Linked DNA regions of Oreochromis niloticus. The protein of the gene in region 2 interacts with the protein of the main gene of each other region in a biochemical or structural test. Links are inferred from orthologs where the notes say so. Each region holds a gene or a part of one and is shown on either strand. Other genes may lie near its edges.

Region 1 (8,098 bases), on a different chromosome or scaffold from region 2:
GCAGAAAAATATTCAGCAGCCACTCTGATAAATTGCGGTCTGTTTTTTTCCGCTGCTGGTGTTTCATGAAAATTTGACTTCATACTTAGGATCAAAACATGCAATCCATGTACAAGAGTGAAGCGGTTAAATGTGCATAAAACAGGGCAAGCTGATACAAGAAATAGCTCGGCAGACCGCAGCTCACAGTATGTTACGTTCACCTTCTGTGGCTTGAATTTGATACCTTGATCAGAAGTCACTCACTGAAGACATGTGTTGCCGCGTTAACACTGAAGCTTGAAATATATCTGCGCTTTGACAGCTGTTTGGAAATGGTCACGAGAGCTGAAGCACATGGGCCTATACTGCTGATTTTTAATGAGTGATTCAGAGTAAAATCCATCTTATGACCAGCGTCTTAACATCCGGGCCGATGAGAACATCGCTCAGAACTCTTCAATCCAATGTTTGGCTGCTCGGGGAGGAGGGTATTCGTAGGGGGGAGGGGGGCTGATAAGTTGGCATTAAACACACAGCCTGACAGGAACTCAGCGGACTGTAAATGATGAACCACTTACAGGAGCGGTGGCTGCGCTTACGTGAAACTACTGGTATTCATAAGTATGATCCTAAAGACAAACCCACAAAAAGGGAAATGAAGGGAGCCATTTTCCTCAAAAAAAGAAAGAAAAAAAAAAAAAGGCCACATGCCTGAAGCGGAAGGCGAAGAAATGTAATCTTTCATTTCACCTCCTGTGATCTCAGATAAGTCATCATGGTCAGACTTCAGAGATAAGTTTTAAAGGAAAAAAATATCAGCCCTTCAGGCAAGACTGCAACGAACGGCTGACTCTTAAAATGTCTCTGCTCGCTAGAAACTGTTGAAAGATTTCAGTCATTGCAGAGACACCGATATCAACAGGACTGTCTGTAATAGCAACATTATAACGGCTTTTTAGTGCAATTTGTTTATTAAACAGAAATTATTTATACCTTTCTGTAAATACTTGGTTACTTACAAAGTTTTAGCTCTGGAAAAGAAAAAAAAATTCCCAATGGGAAATTTGTTGTTTGCGTTTTCTGGTAATGTTCTGTTTTTCAAATGGAAAATGAGCCACTAAGTGCAGGGTTTTGGTCACAAAACATACTTTTTTTTGTTTGTTTGCAAAAATTCAGCAATTAAAAATGTAAAATACTGATTTATCAGTCAATATTATCTATATATACACACACCAGGGTAAAGTTTAAGTGAAAGAAAGATTAAGTAATAGAACACAGGAGCGATCTTGAAATGTCAGCTGTGCTAAAAACAGTCAAAAGGAGCAAAAGAAGAGGCTCTAGACCAGTTACAAGCATTTTTGTCTGTATTGCTAATTAAAGATTATTCATTAACACATAGATACGGACACAAACGCGACTGGTTAATATCAGCAGACCGATTCATCAGCTGGTCTCCACAACACACAGCTGAGTTGGTGACTGTTGGTCTATCATGTCATGTTGGTGCAAAGGCCACAGAATAAAGGATCGGCTCAGTAATGAGTGTGTTCGCCACATTCATCACTGTGTACAAACTGAATGCTAATTTTGTTGCCGCTCTTCTCTTGTTTGTGGTTGCCCTCACCCGTCTGACAAGTATTATCAGTTGCAGTGACGGTTAAAGGTATTGCTGCAACTCAAATTAAGAACTCGGCTGGAAGAAATCTAAACAGCTCCCCACATGTGTGTCTGTGTCTTTGATGGGGCAACTTAAATCTTAAGCTAGGTTAAAAATGAATCGGCAGGTCGCGCCAACTTCTCAGTTTCGATTACGAACTTACTTCCTACGTTCTCTACTTCGCTCCCTTTTGCCGTTTCGTCTCCGTTACGGTTGCTTAAGATCTGCACAAAAATAAAAGCTGTTTGCTGCGACTTGCTTTTATTATTTTGTTTTGTAGTTCAGGGCGTTTATTTTGCAAGTTTGAAAAGCCACGCTTCCTGTTGGAGCGCTGAAGGCAAGCACGGGCCCCGACTACTTGCTGAAACAAAGCGTGCCCACTACAGCGGTTGTAGTTAATCGAGCTGGTGCTCGTCTATCTTCCCCGCCCTACAACTGCAAATACCCACCTCGTGTAAATACAATACATTTTTTTTACCTAATGGAAAATGGGTTAAACAAAGGCGTTAAGCGTGTCACAACAATAGCGAGCAGCGTGCTAATAAAAGCAGAGGCGGAACTGCTCCCCACATTAAAACATTTCCGATACCATTATGTGTACGGCCGTATGCGGTGTTTCATGGAGAAGCTATACAAAATTTCTCATAATGCATGTTTAACTCTTAGGTTATTGTGCTTTTGTGGCTATTTAATCACATAAAATACGCGTTTACGACGTTCATATGTGATAAGAATATTCCGATCAAGCTAGCTGGACAAAATGGGAGTGAGTGCCGCGCGGTGCTGGAATATTCTAGTCGCTAAGTTAGCTAATGCCATCTATGGTTGTTTGCAACACCCATATTAACAGAAACTTACACACCAAATTAAAATTTTATACTGGATTTTTATAGCTAACGTTTGTTTCACATGCACGGTGTCCGTGTGGGCCACAGTGAAGGCCACCTTAAGCTATTTCAGCTAACTCACGGGGCCAGCTAGTCACTCCTTTGCTATATAGCTAGGCTAGGTTAGCCAACACAGCAGTTCCGTGACATAGATGGCTCCCGTGAGGCTCACTGCTTCATCGACTGCAGTAGATTACAAATCAAAGCGATTTCATAAACATCTCTCCTAAGTAAAAAGTCTCCGTGTCGTGACTGAAATAACAGCGAGGCCTCGACTTGTGCCGCACATCACGTCGCTGTATATGTTAGTTTGAAGACACACAAACCTGAGGAGGCCGCCATCTTCTTCAGCCGAGTCCAGAAGCACACAGATGTGTGACATCACGGCGGTTAAAAATCGGGCGAGCAGCATCACACCGGCGGAGAGCGGCATTACACGCTGCTGACGGGCTGCTCGCACCTGTCCACTCTCACTCTCATTCCATTCTTTCATGTTTCATATCGTCAAACTAATTTCAGTGTTAGACAAACGTAAACACAGCAAATAAAAGTAGTTTTTAAATGACGATTCCATTCATTAAGGATACAAAGTTACTCAAACCTGCCTGGACTTAATCCTGATAACTGGTTGTGGCACCCTTGGCAGTAAGAACTGCAACCAAGCATTTGTGGTTACTGGTAATGAGTCTTTGACATTGCTGTGGAGGAATTTTGGCCCACTATTCTTTGCAGAATAGTTTTAATTTAGCCATACTGTAAGGTTTTCGAGTATAACATCATGCCAAATCTGGACTTGGTCACTCCAAAACCTTCATTCAGATCTTCACTTCGGATCATCATCCTGCTGTCAGTTATTTGATTGTATCATCAGAAGACGCCTACATTTATTTGTTAACCTGCTTCATGTGGTTCAGATTCTGTGCTCTTACAGTAGGCCTTTAACTTGCTTGGTACCATCCTTGGCAAACTGGGGCTGAGGAGCATTAACGAGTCCCAGGAAAGCCTTAAGACCATGCCTGGGTCATGTCTGAACCCCTGGACACAATTTGATGACTGAATTGATGGTCAGGCTTTTATTCTCGCTTAAATGCAAGAATAAATAATAAAAATTACAAATGCATTCTTGTGAAACAATTTTACAGACATCAGTTTGGGAGAGGCCACTCGCGGTTCAGTTCCCAGTTCTCCTGCATGTGCCTTGGCAATCAGTCTGCTATGTTAAAGGATGTCTTAGTTCCTAAAAAGGATGGTCCTCTCTTCTCTGCTCTATCGGCTGGGTCGAGGAGCTTTAACAAGGGTTGCACCATCATTTGTGGAAGTGTTTTTACATTCAGCATATCAAACAGGGGGACAGCTGGAGTTTGCAAACCGAAGCAGTGGGAGGACTCACGAGACAACACGCAGACATACAATCATTTACAAAGTCGATTTAGAATCACGAGTTAACCTAACTGGTCACAGTCCAAACTCCATGTGTTTGGACTGTGAGAGGAAGCCATGTAGGAATGGGGATCATGGAAACTCCACACAAAGCGGCCCCAGCCAGCCAATGGATTCAAACCCAGGGCCCCTTTGTTATGAGGCAGCAGTGCTAACCACTGCACCACCATGCTGAAATGAAAGTTAAGACTAAGTCAGTGCAGCTTTTTAAAGGAGCAGCAACACACTGAGAGGAACTACCTGATCCTCCTTCACAGGATGTACCACCATCTTCTCACACCAGGTTTCACGACATGCAGTTTTGTCAGCTGCTGCTTGTATTTGTCTTTTGGTATCACTTGCATGGAGCCTCAGCTGCAGGTGGATGTGTGCTTAGTTATGTTTTCTCCTCCAAGGTTAGTGTTAGGTACTTCTTTTTGGTTAGGATTAGAGCCTTAACAACTTCACTAACAGATTTAATATAAATACGTGCAGGCTGTATTAGTTTTCTATCATACCCCCATACTTTGGACATTATGACTGACAAAAACTATCATTTTTTTCAGGTAAATTTCAGCCTGGTGACAGCTGACAGCTTGGCAGGTTAGGATTTTGCACACGTCACACATCACCGTTCAAAATTAAGCAAGCATCTCCTAAATTGTCGGGCTTTTGACGTTCTTAGACAAAACCTCGTCTGCTGATTTGTACCGAGTTCAGTTACATTTAAAACAGGATGAGAAGGGTCAGATATTTCACAAAATAAAAGGTTTGTTTTATTTTTGAAACTTTGAACACACTTTTGTGGATAATACAGGTGTCCATTCCAGTTCCAGAATTTATGCAGGTTGCACTGTAAGAAGGAAAGACACAGTTAAGCTATGAAGAGCAGATATCTGAGAGATTCGAGACACATCTGGCTTTACTGCATCTCCTCAGTGGTCAGGTTATTGGATAATTTAAGCTTACAGATCTGGATTAAAAGTTTTTCTCCCTCCAATATCCTATCCATTTATTTGACTAATGTCAGACCTGATAAAATTGGACTACAATAAAAATACAATAGCAAAAAACATACTTTACACATGTATAATCAGGCCAGTAAATTGACGGCAGAGATAAACTGATAGAGGACGTGCAGCAGAAGCATTTGGGAATCAGATGAAGTGTGTTCACAGATAAGACAAAATGGTGGATGTAGCTGGTCAAGTCACTGACTCTCATCGCTGACTCTGATTGCTGCCATGTAGCTGTAGTTGCTATAGCAACGCATCATTCTGGCTCCAGCTGCAGGTGTACAATCTCCGGGGTCTCCGCTGTAATCTGAGATAAAGCCACATAAAAGAGCCGCTCGGCACGTCCGTTTAAGCATGATTTTATGCGACAGCAGGCTCTCACGCTCATGTTTTACCACTTCAAACCCCGCACCCCCCTGCTGAACTGCTGAGCAGGTCAAACCAACGTTTTTTTTTTATTCATGGCTCCGATTGCTTCACACTTGTGATGACAGATATTGAGCTAAACCGGTGTGAGCGAAGGACTGCACCAAAGTGCCAGGGAGCACAAAAGCAGCAGTGCACTGCACACTGGGACAGATCGTCAAGTCTGACTACGTTTATTCTGACTAAGTTTGGGTCAAGATAAATGGAAAAATGGTTGGTTGGTTCTAGTTTTCACGATATGGCACAATGCTACCAAGACCAAAAGTTCTTAACCGAAAGCAGAGATGACTATCATACATTTTGACCTTTGAACTTTGGCAAAAATGACCTAAAATAGCCACTCTTTCTGAACAAGCCATCTAGTTTTGATTAAATTGGACTCTTCTGAATGATCAAAGTATGAAAGTCAAATTAAAATGAAATTATGATTTTGACCTTTTGACCTCAATTCTGACCTTGGACCTTGACCTTCTATGTCTGGGAAACTCTGAAATGCTCGGAGAGTATATTTTTGAAATGTTTTTAAAGCATATTCAATTATTCATGCACCAGTGAAATGCATTTAACATTTGCATTTCCTCTGCTGGAGCCCTACATTGTTAAATGATAAAACAGGTTTGGTAGTGGAGACATTCATAGACAAGTAGACACATGATGAAACCAACGTGTCTACATGTCATTATTTAATGGTTCATAATAAGTCTTTCTGTATAGACTTTTATCACTTGTTACATAATGGAGGAAAACTGCATTACAGTGTAAATTGGCCACACACTGATGAGAACTGAGCATCAGAATAAGGAAGAGAGATGCCTCAAGTGACTTGTAATGTTGTGTGGTTGTTAATACTGTTTCAAAAACTGCTGATTACTAGAATTTTCCCATACAGCCATCTGTAGAGCGTACAGAGAATGGTCCAGAAGAGAAAATATGCAGTTCTCTGGGTAAAAATACCTCGTTGATGCCAGAGGAGACAGCTTTCAGCTAACAGGAAGGCAACAAGAACTTAAATGATCACTCCTTACAACTGAGGTATGCAGAAGAGCATCTCCAGACCCATGGGCTATAGCAGAAGACCACATCAGGTACAATAAATAAAGAAAATTGGAAAAACATCTAATAAGTCAGTTTCTGTCGTGTCACTTGGATGATAGGGTCAGTATCAGTGTAAACACGAAAGCTTGGATCCACCCTGCCTCGTTTCAATGATTGATCACTGGCTCACCTGCACGTCAGAAGCATCCTTGGCCAGGATACTGGAAACTGGAACAAATACCAGTCCATCTACTACCAAAATTCACCCAGTAAAGTCAGCAGTAGGCTCTTCTGCATATATGAAACAGGTAGCAAACAACTGAACATAGAGAGACTGGTGAAATATGCAGGTCAGAAGTAAGAAACCTTTGCAAGCATTTTAAGTGAACATTTTATTTATTCTCTATAAACAAATAGTCAACATGAGCTACTCAATCCAAAAGAAAAAACACAAAGCAAGCTTGAACTTATTTTAACAGTTTCCAAAAGACAAAGTCTGTGATTATAATGTACAAGTTATCCAAAGAGCTTTTTAATCACAGCACAAAACAACAAGTTAACAAAGAAAATAAGTACTTTCAAATATGAGCTCTTTAAGTCAACACTGGATGCAGTTTTTACACGTTCCTATAAAAACTGCAACAGGAAACCAGCGTTTAATGAGTCATGGGGTCCTTCTGAATCACCAATCGGGGGTCTAATACACCCAGATATTCAGCACATGCTGGTTCAGTTATACAAATACGTTTTTTTACAGCACGAGTAAAGAAGTCGACATGGGATAGGAGTTAAAATTAAGGACTGTACATAATTGCAGGGTGTGCCTTAAGCAAGGAGACGAACAGTCTTTCCAGTGACTGTCAAGTAATCCTCGTCAGCCAGAGCTCGCAACGCCTCGTCGAACAGCTCCTTAGTAATCGCCTGCAAACGGGGCAAGAGAGGAGGAAGTCATTAGAGAGGAAGTGATGAAAGAGTGCAGCAAATACTCAAAGAGTGCAAACGTGTCGACGGCTACTCTGGCTGAATTTTGTGATATTTCAGAGGATACAGACAGAAATGTTAGAGCTTGGCTTTTGCTCAGTCTAATGAGGAACAAGTGCCACGCTACGGTCATAGCAATCGCCATCTGAAGAGCTGAAATCAAACTGATATTTGAGCTTTGACTTCATGCTGGCTTAATAAAAATAAAGATTTAAAAACACTCACAGTTTCAGACTGTCCTCTGAGGTCATCGAGCAGCTGCTGGTATTTCATGGCTGGCGTCTTCCCTTTGGCCTGGATCAGCTTCTTCAGGGCCTGGGCTACCTCCTCCTTGCGCTTGCGTGCTGTGGCGCTCATGCCTGTAATCGAGCAAAGAACAATGCATTGAAATGCAACTGCAGGACTGAACCTAAAGATTATTTGCATTATTAATCTGGGGTTCAAAAGTTGTCCTATAAAGAGGCCAGAAAAGCCCAAGTAGCATCTTTACAATGGAGAAAATGGAACTAGTGTTTCAAAGCAAGGCCATTGTAAAATGAGCCTGACACCTCATAAAGTGCATCTTTAATTTTTCATGTCAGCACCTTTAGAAATACTTTCATTGTCTTCCGTACCTGTTGTCAGAATAGAGATGTCTACAAATCCTGTTCTGGGATCTGTGGCCGACTGTTTGAGGGCCTCTCGGTGCAGCCGCT
Region 2 (7,455 bases):
CAGCATTTATCGCCTCAACTAATTTGCCCTGGACAGGCCTTTAAAATACAAACTCATCACACGGCTGAAAGGCAGCACATGCAAATATTAAGTGACCCACTAAATTTCTTGGACTTTGTAGCATCTGGTGTGACCCAGAGCCGTATCCCAGCTGGGAGACAGGAGTAATTTTCCTTTTGTGGGCATGACAGAGGTGGTCAAAAGATGTCACGAAGGTACTGTGGATTGTTTGTAATCCATGTGTCTTGTACAGGATGTTCACACAACAAGCCTACACTACTTAAACATCCTGTCTCCAAGACATTTACACATGCTGGAGAGTAAACTGTTTAAGGATATTTCCTCACACCGAAACAATTTCAGGAGCCGTCTCAGCGGGTGAGTCCACTCCTTCGTGTCCAGGACACTGAAACGCTTTTCAAACATGCAACATTTTACAATGACGTCATTCTGCCGTTCAGACTGTAGGTCACGTCCACGTTAACGTTCCCCACCACAGCTTCATTCAGAGAAACATACAAAAGGGATGGGCACAGAGCCATAGTAGGCATGTGATTTTTACAGCATGTCCTAGATTAATACAATGAAGATTTCTACAACTTGCAGTACCAGTTATATTCTGATAGCTGCTTAGCTGCTGCTAAAAATATAAAACTGAGATGCTGTGTAAACACAGGTACACAGTATCATTCTGTGTTAGAGCCTGATTGATCCAGTCTGTCTTGTGCCACATGAGTTAATGTTTTTAGCTCTCCTCTGAGAGGCTCATGGGTAGATCCTGTAGCGGTTTGATGCTGCAGGAACGTAATAGACGCAAAGGAAAAGACACGGCTGGAGGCAACAATCTGGCTTCAGCTTCCGTCAAACTTCTTTCAAACCCAGATTAAAGCTGTTACCGATAAGCCCCATTAATGTGACCCATAATAAACTCAATGTGATGAGGGAGGTATGTAATAGACATTTCAGTCTGTAGCTGGTGTGAAATAGTAAGCACAGCAATTATTAATTTTTGTACATGAGATTACCAAAGACTACATAGTTGAGTTCAGAAAGCAAAATGAAAGCAAGTATGACAGGGAGTGATTTATTCATGAGCTGCACACTCGGATAGGCTGAGGCTGAAATGGAACAAACTGACAGGTGTTACAACCGAGAGCTGTCCAAACCTGACAGAGATAAATTTGGGACTTTTTAAGCAGATCCAGATAAAGACACTGAAATGAACCCATAACTGGAACTGGTATTTTTCCATTGTATTGTACACCAGGATGTGTTGCATAAGTCAGTGCTAAAAATGAACACATTACTGATGCTTGTTGCACTTTTGATTCCCTACTGCAGAGAACTTCAAGTCAGTATCACCACTGGATTTGAATTCTTCTCTCAAAAAGGAGAACTTTCAACACATAAGAAGGCATGCACAGAAGATGTTGGTCCTCTTTGAATCTAACTTTGTATGTAAACAGACCTTCTCATTAAGAAAGTTAATCATATCCCACCTCAGTGCTGACACTGAACCGGACTTTAACACACTTGTTAAGGGCCAAAACAGACTAGATTTCATTCGGTGAGTAAGGAAAGAAAGGCAAAACTGCAGATGAAGCAATTTAGACTACAAGTAAAATACCATAGCATGGAAATTTTGCATAAGGATGCACACTGTTTTAACAATCTTTGGGGAAATGTTCATTAAATAGAAATGGTAAAATATTGGCGCTTTAACTTAATCTATTTCACATTTTCATTGCCTAACATCTAATGTGATTCAATGTTGCTGTTGAAAGTCCTGAACCTTTGGCCTTCTGCATTTTAGTGTACCTCAGAACATAAAACAGTATATGATTAGTATGGTATTGCTGTCCACCTTTCATCTTATGTTGCTAGAGTTATAAGGGTTTGAAACTTTTGCTACTTGTCTATGTATAATTTGTGGTATCTGTTGCACAGTTTGCAAAACTTATTTTGTTGCCATTATATAAAGATGAGCGTGATAAATAAATACCATGAAATGATATACAGAATAACATAAACTTCCTACAACACAAATGGGCAAAATTGACATTCCCTGACATCCTTTATTTGTGATGAACACATAAATACATAAAAAAGTTGACAATGCTGATGCTCAAGTGTATTTATGGCTTTATGTCACAGTAAACCAGACTGACTCAAAACTTCACCAAATGCCAACATAATACTGGTGGGTTTTAAAACATGGACCCATTCTTATCTTCTAGATCTTCCCAAACTAATGGGGTTTAACATAATTTAGTAATATGTGCATCATGTTTTAATTTCGTGTGGCTCTATTTACTTTATCCACGTCAGCATGCCTCCCTTAGAGAAAGTGCAGCCCATCCCTGCACAGGACTTGTACCAAAGACCTCTAGCACAGCCTTTAAAATATATTTCACAATAAAGCTCGTTGTCACCTTCTTGTCTGTCACTGTCCAGTGGCCGTCTTCACTTTGTTTGAAAGTGCAGTGCAGTCTGGAGATCATCAGGGGACAGGCTGGAGACAGTAGTTGGTAAGTTACATCCACACCACGTCCAATGGTGATCTGCACAGCCAAAAATAAACACGTTAGTTAGCTCCACTCTGCATCTCTCCAGTTCTATAAAAAACGGACAGGGACACTCTTCAGCTTAAAACAATTCTAAATTATTAACCATAAATTGAGGGTAATGTTCCCCCTACATGTAAACTGGAATCTGCCGTGAACCTGAGCAAGCTTCATGTTAGTATAAATATAGCACGTTAGCTAACATTAGCAAGCTGCACCTCTGTGTTTTCGAACAAGCGAAGCCAGTCAGAGTTTCTCCCGACTCTCATCAGACAAAAAACCTCCGAGTCCGGACATTCATCGTCTTCAACCGCACAGCAATCCGCTGCCGTCTCTTTATCCATCTTATCTCATTCTATCAGCGGCCAAGTCGTCCGAAAGGACACCACTAACTGCGTTGTTTCAGCTCCTCCGCCACATCCCGACATACTGGGAGAAACCGGAAGACATTTCATTTTCTTTCAAAATAAAGGCCACAGATGTGCTTCAACGCTTATCTTTGGACAGCCCATGAATCACTTGGATCCCTCTAAAATCATTTAGTTTTTTTATTAATTCAAAATTTATTCAGCTTTTGCAGACCCAAAGTAGAAATATTACGGTGTCCATGAACATATTACAGTAGGGACAAAACAAGACGTAGAGTTTTATGTTTCGTCACTCATTCAAGTAACTTCTTCAGTTCACACAATGCATTATGCGAATATACTGTTTATAGAGTTGCTAATAAGGTCTGGAATTTAATTGCCTGCATGACTGAGCAACCATCAAGACAAATAAATAAATGAAATAACACTTTTAAATTTTACCCTGAACCAGCTGCTTAAAGTAAATACACCCATTTAGTTATATTAACACTGAAATACTCTTTTTTTTTTTTTACCCTCTCCACTTCATTTTCACCTCAGGAAAAAAAAACAAATCTTTTACAATTGAAGGTCAAGAATTATAATAATTTATAATTATAATAAAAAGTAATCATGTGGACCCTGTTAGTGTTGTAATAACACATGTTTAACTTCAAACCTTTTAATTATTCCTACATATAATAAGTTTGTGTTTGTTAGTTTGCATTTTGTATTGCCTCAAGACACCGTAGACGTCTATAATTTCTTTTGTTTTATCTCTTTTGGTAAGCACATTGAGTATAAGTGTAAGGAATGGTGCTATATAAATAAAACTGACACTGACACTGATATTACACAGTCACAGTCATATTGTATTTTATTATAAATATTATTTGTTTTTTCGTTAGAGCTTGTGTTTACTGTTATTTACCATTCAAAAGCAGTGTAGTGAAAGATACTTATACCTAAAAAAAAAAAAGAAGAAAAAAGTGGAGAATACAACAACAACAACAAAAACCCAAACAGCCAAACATGAACATTGTTACTTTGCAGTATTTTAACCGTAGTACTGCTTCATAACTGTTGCTGGTGTATACAGTTGTTAAAAATCCCTGCACCTTTAAATAAAATAGCTCTTCTTTCTCCCCGCAGCTCTCAAACCTCTAACGCGCCGCGGTGCTCTTCGTCCATTCGGGCGACCCCGAGTCCCGAAACGCGCGCACCCCGAGCTCCAGGCGGGACTTCCTTTCTCCTGCGGATGCGCTGATATTAGGGTGAGCAGGCAGAAAGGGCTTGGTCGGGGTGTCACCGGTCTATCCGCGCGCCTCTGCACAGCAGATGACCTGGCCGACGACTCCGCTGCCGCTGAAGCCCCGTAGATGAATCTCCTCCTCGGCTATGCTGCCCTGAGAGCGCCGCGAGTATCCGCCCCGCCAACATGTCTGATGTCAACAAGACTATTCAGAAATGGCACGCCAGTTTTAAGAAAGGCACAGACTTTGACTCGTGGGGACAATTAGTGGAGGCTATAGATGAGTACCAAATGTAAGTTGCATTCAACATGTGTGTCCTGTGTGTCCACAGCGCTGGTTTAACCCGAACGCAGTCCGGGCGCTGTGCTTCTTCTTTTTTTTATTCTTTTCCTTTCTCTGGGTCGCCTGTCCCTAAAATCTGCAGGGAAACATGTAGGAGACAGTAGGTGCAAGAAGTTAGCCCGTGTGCTGTCAGTCAGCTCTCGGAGCAGTAAATAAACCCTACCCATCCATGACGTGATGTGGCAGTTGTTGCAGTGGGGAGCAGATGTGTTGCCTGATGCATCCTAGCTCCGTCCACAGCAGCACTTTGGAGTTTAAGGGAGAGTCCGTCCATGTAGCCTGTCATGGAAAATCGGTCGGAGCTGCGAGCAGTCTGTTTCATTATGTGTCATGCAATGCAGAAACGGGCCAGTATTCCTCAGAGTGTTGGGAAACAGTCAGCCACACCCTCTCATTGTTATGGGTGGGTTTCATCTGCTGAGTGAGGAATGGTTTCTGCTTCTCAGACCAGATCTTTGTCTTTGCAATTTCCTTAAAATGTGCCCAGCTTCTCTCCCAGTTAATAGTTTATTTAAAACTGCACTAACAATACAAAAATCCAGATCCATGCAGCAGCTTCTACTGTCCGCAGGGGGGCGCACAGACACACACCTTACCTTATAGGAGTCTTGCAGGGTCTTGCAGTGAATCATTAACGCGTCTGTGTTTCATGTGGGTTCGTGTAGTTTGGCAAGACAACTGCAAAAAGAAGTCCAGTCAACAAATTCATCAGACTTCACCGAAGAGCAGAAGGTAATCATTACATCCGCCTGCAGCTTCTGCACCGGAGTGTCTGTCACTTTACTTAAACTAACAAGTGTTTTTTTTTTTCTTTTAAAGAAAACTCTGGCAAAGATTGCAACATGTCTGGAGATGAGAAGTGCCAGTTTGCAGGTTTGTATAGGAGTCTGCATGATTAGTAGCTACAGAAAGGAGGCAATGTCCAGGTTTTCAGAGATGCTGAGGTCATCATTATTATATAAAAGTAAAATTTGAGCATCAGCAGTTTTACTTATGCATATAACGCTTTTGAAAGTGGTCTTGAGCAATAGTTCTCCAGGCTTTCTGAAGGTCTTTCAAAGTTTGTCTTTGGACATTGGCCAATGGTCCTTGTACCTGACCATTTCCAAAGGGAAGTTTTTCCTTGTTAAGTCACTTAACACTAACCTGTGACTCATTCAAGCATAAAAAGGCACCTAATTCAAGGGACAAAACGGTCTTGTATTTACACATATCAGGCAACTTAGCAAAGAAACAATTTAAAATGTTATCTTTAGACACTTTGAGTTTTAAAAGGCATAAAATTGTGTTTGTTGGACTGATTCCCAAAGAGCTATTAACTGAAAAAGTGTCCTTAAAAAATAAAATATGGAAAAGTGTCAAGTATAGAAGAAAAGAAGAAGTGGCAGGCCTGAAATACAAAACAGTGCTTCAAAGCCTTAAGAAACAGGAAAAAATCCAGCAAAAACCTGACACAGGACCTGAGAGATCCATCTGACCCTTCAGCTGAGCCTTGTACTGTTCAACAAAGCTTCATCAGAAATGGTCTCAGTGGAAGGGTGGCTGTCAGGAAGGCGTTCTTAAGGAAAGGAAACGGGGAGAAAAGGCGAAGGGATGCCAACTTAAACAAGAACTGGACTGAAAATCAGTGCCAAAAGGTCTTATGGAGTGATGAATCCAAGTTTGACATTTTTGGTTCAAATCGTCATCGGTAAGTATAGAAGGGGTCAGGAGAGAGGTGTAGCGGTGGGTGTCTACACCCATCTGTAAAACCTTGTAATGATTTGGGGCTGCGTTTCTGCCAGTGTGTGTTAGGGATCTTGTTAAAATCGATGGAATAAGAACACAGAAAAGTACAATCAGATTCTGGTCCGTCCAGAAAGTGTTTGATAATGGCTTTATGTTTCTGCCCAAACACACTGCCAATGCAGGAAAAGTATTCCTGAATACAGAAACACACAAAGAGTCACCGTCAGTCATGGATTGACCTCCCCTGAGCCTGAAGCTCAACATTAATGTGAGATAAGTGTGAGATCGTCTCACATTGAACAGAAGACGACCAACTTCCAAGAAAGAGCTGTAAATGTCATTCAAGAAGCCTGGAGAGCTATTTCTGAAGACTGCCTAAAGAAACCATAAGAAAGTGATCATAAATCTTGACTTTCAAGCTCGTTAGAGTTGTTTTTGCCTTGTATGCTGTATGTTTAAACATTTTTCTCTTTCCCATTATGAATAAATTAGGGATGGCTCGAGACTTTTGCACAGTGCTATAAAAAAAATACATTCACTTCCTGGGGAAAAACAAATACTGAACATATCCTTTGTCTGGGTTTCTTCAGTGCACTCAGTCAAAGGAAGAGTTCAAGTTAGAAGACCTGAAGAAACTGGAAACCAGTAAGTGTATGACTGGGGTTTTTCCTGGCTCGAAATGGGCCTCTAAGGGGCGACTGCAGAAAAACATGATTGGTGTGTGTATAGTAAAGATGTTGAAACTGTGTGGCCTTATTTGACAGAACTCTACATGCATTCCTGTCATTTCTGGGCATTTTGCAAACAAATGTTTATTACACTTTAGTAAATGAAAGACTTTAAAATGTTGATCTGGCGATTTATTTTTTTTTTCCTTTTGCTCTGGCCTGTGGAAAAAATTTCTCTGTGAAGGAAAAACACTGATGAACAATTTACTGGATATTCTGACATGTTTGAATAGTGATATAATCAACTCTACTCCTTTTTCTTCAACAGTAATTAAAAATGTACTCACCTACAACAAAGAGTTTCCATTCGATGTTCAGCCGGTGCCGTTAAGGTAAAAATCCATCACTGGTGTTATTACTGCTTTGGGCTCATGCTTCCTGTGTCATTGTGTCTCAACATTACTGGATTTACAGATTTTTATGAATTAATACAATAAAAGAATAACTAATAGATCAACATGAGTCATGTGATCACACACAAGCGTTGATAATT

The links. The genes of interacting proteins can lie anywhere in the genome.
Region 1: the proteins of rnf8 (region 2) and ube2v2 form a complex in vitro, tested with the Homo sapiens proteins (2 studies listed by BioGRID). The link is inferred for Oreochromis niloticus from reciprocal best matches to the Homo sapiens genes RNF8 and UBE2V2.

The regions. Positions count from the first base shown.
Region 1 is NC_031982.2:18,523,907-18,532,004, reverse strand, and holds the start of ube2v2 (ubiquitin-conjugating enzyme E2 variant 2), read right to left. Parts: upstream 3,007-8,098; 5' UTR 2,869-3,006; coding exon 2,853-2,868; intron 1-2,852. Other genes in the region: DNA replication licensing factor MCM4, read right to left, coding at 7,248-7,343, 7,629-7,762, 8,018-8,098. UniProt on the Homo sapiens protein: Has no ubiquitin ligase activity on its own. The UBE2V2/UBE2N heterodimer catalyzes the synthesis of non-canonical poly-ubiquitin chains that are linked through 'Lys-63'. This type of poly-ubiquitination does not lead to protein degradation by the proteasome.
Region 2 is NC_031980.2:14,133,386-14,140,840, reverse strand, and holds the start of rnf8 (E3 ubiquitin-protein ligase rnf8), read right to left. Parts: upstream 3,018-7,455; 5' UTR 2,909-3,017; coding exon 2,768-2,908; intron 2,562-2,767; coding exon 2,433-2,561; intron 1-2,432. Other genes in the region: aida (axin interactor, dorsalization-associated protein), read left to right, coding at 4,350-4,456, 5,172-5,238, 5,326-5,379, 6,825-6,879, 7,231-7,294. UniProt on the Homo sapiens protein: E3 ubiquitin-protein ligase that plays a key role in DNA damage signaling via 2 distinct roles: by mediating the 'Lys-63'-linked ubiquitination of histones H2A and H2AX and promoting the recruitment of DNA repair proteins at double-strand breaks (DSBs) sites, and by catalyzing 'Lys-48'-linked ubiquitination to remove target proteins from DNA damage sites.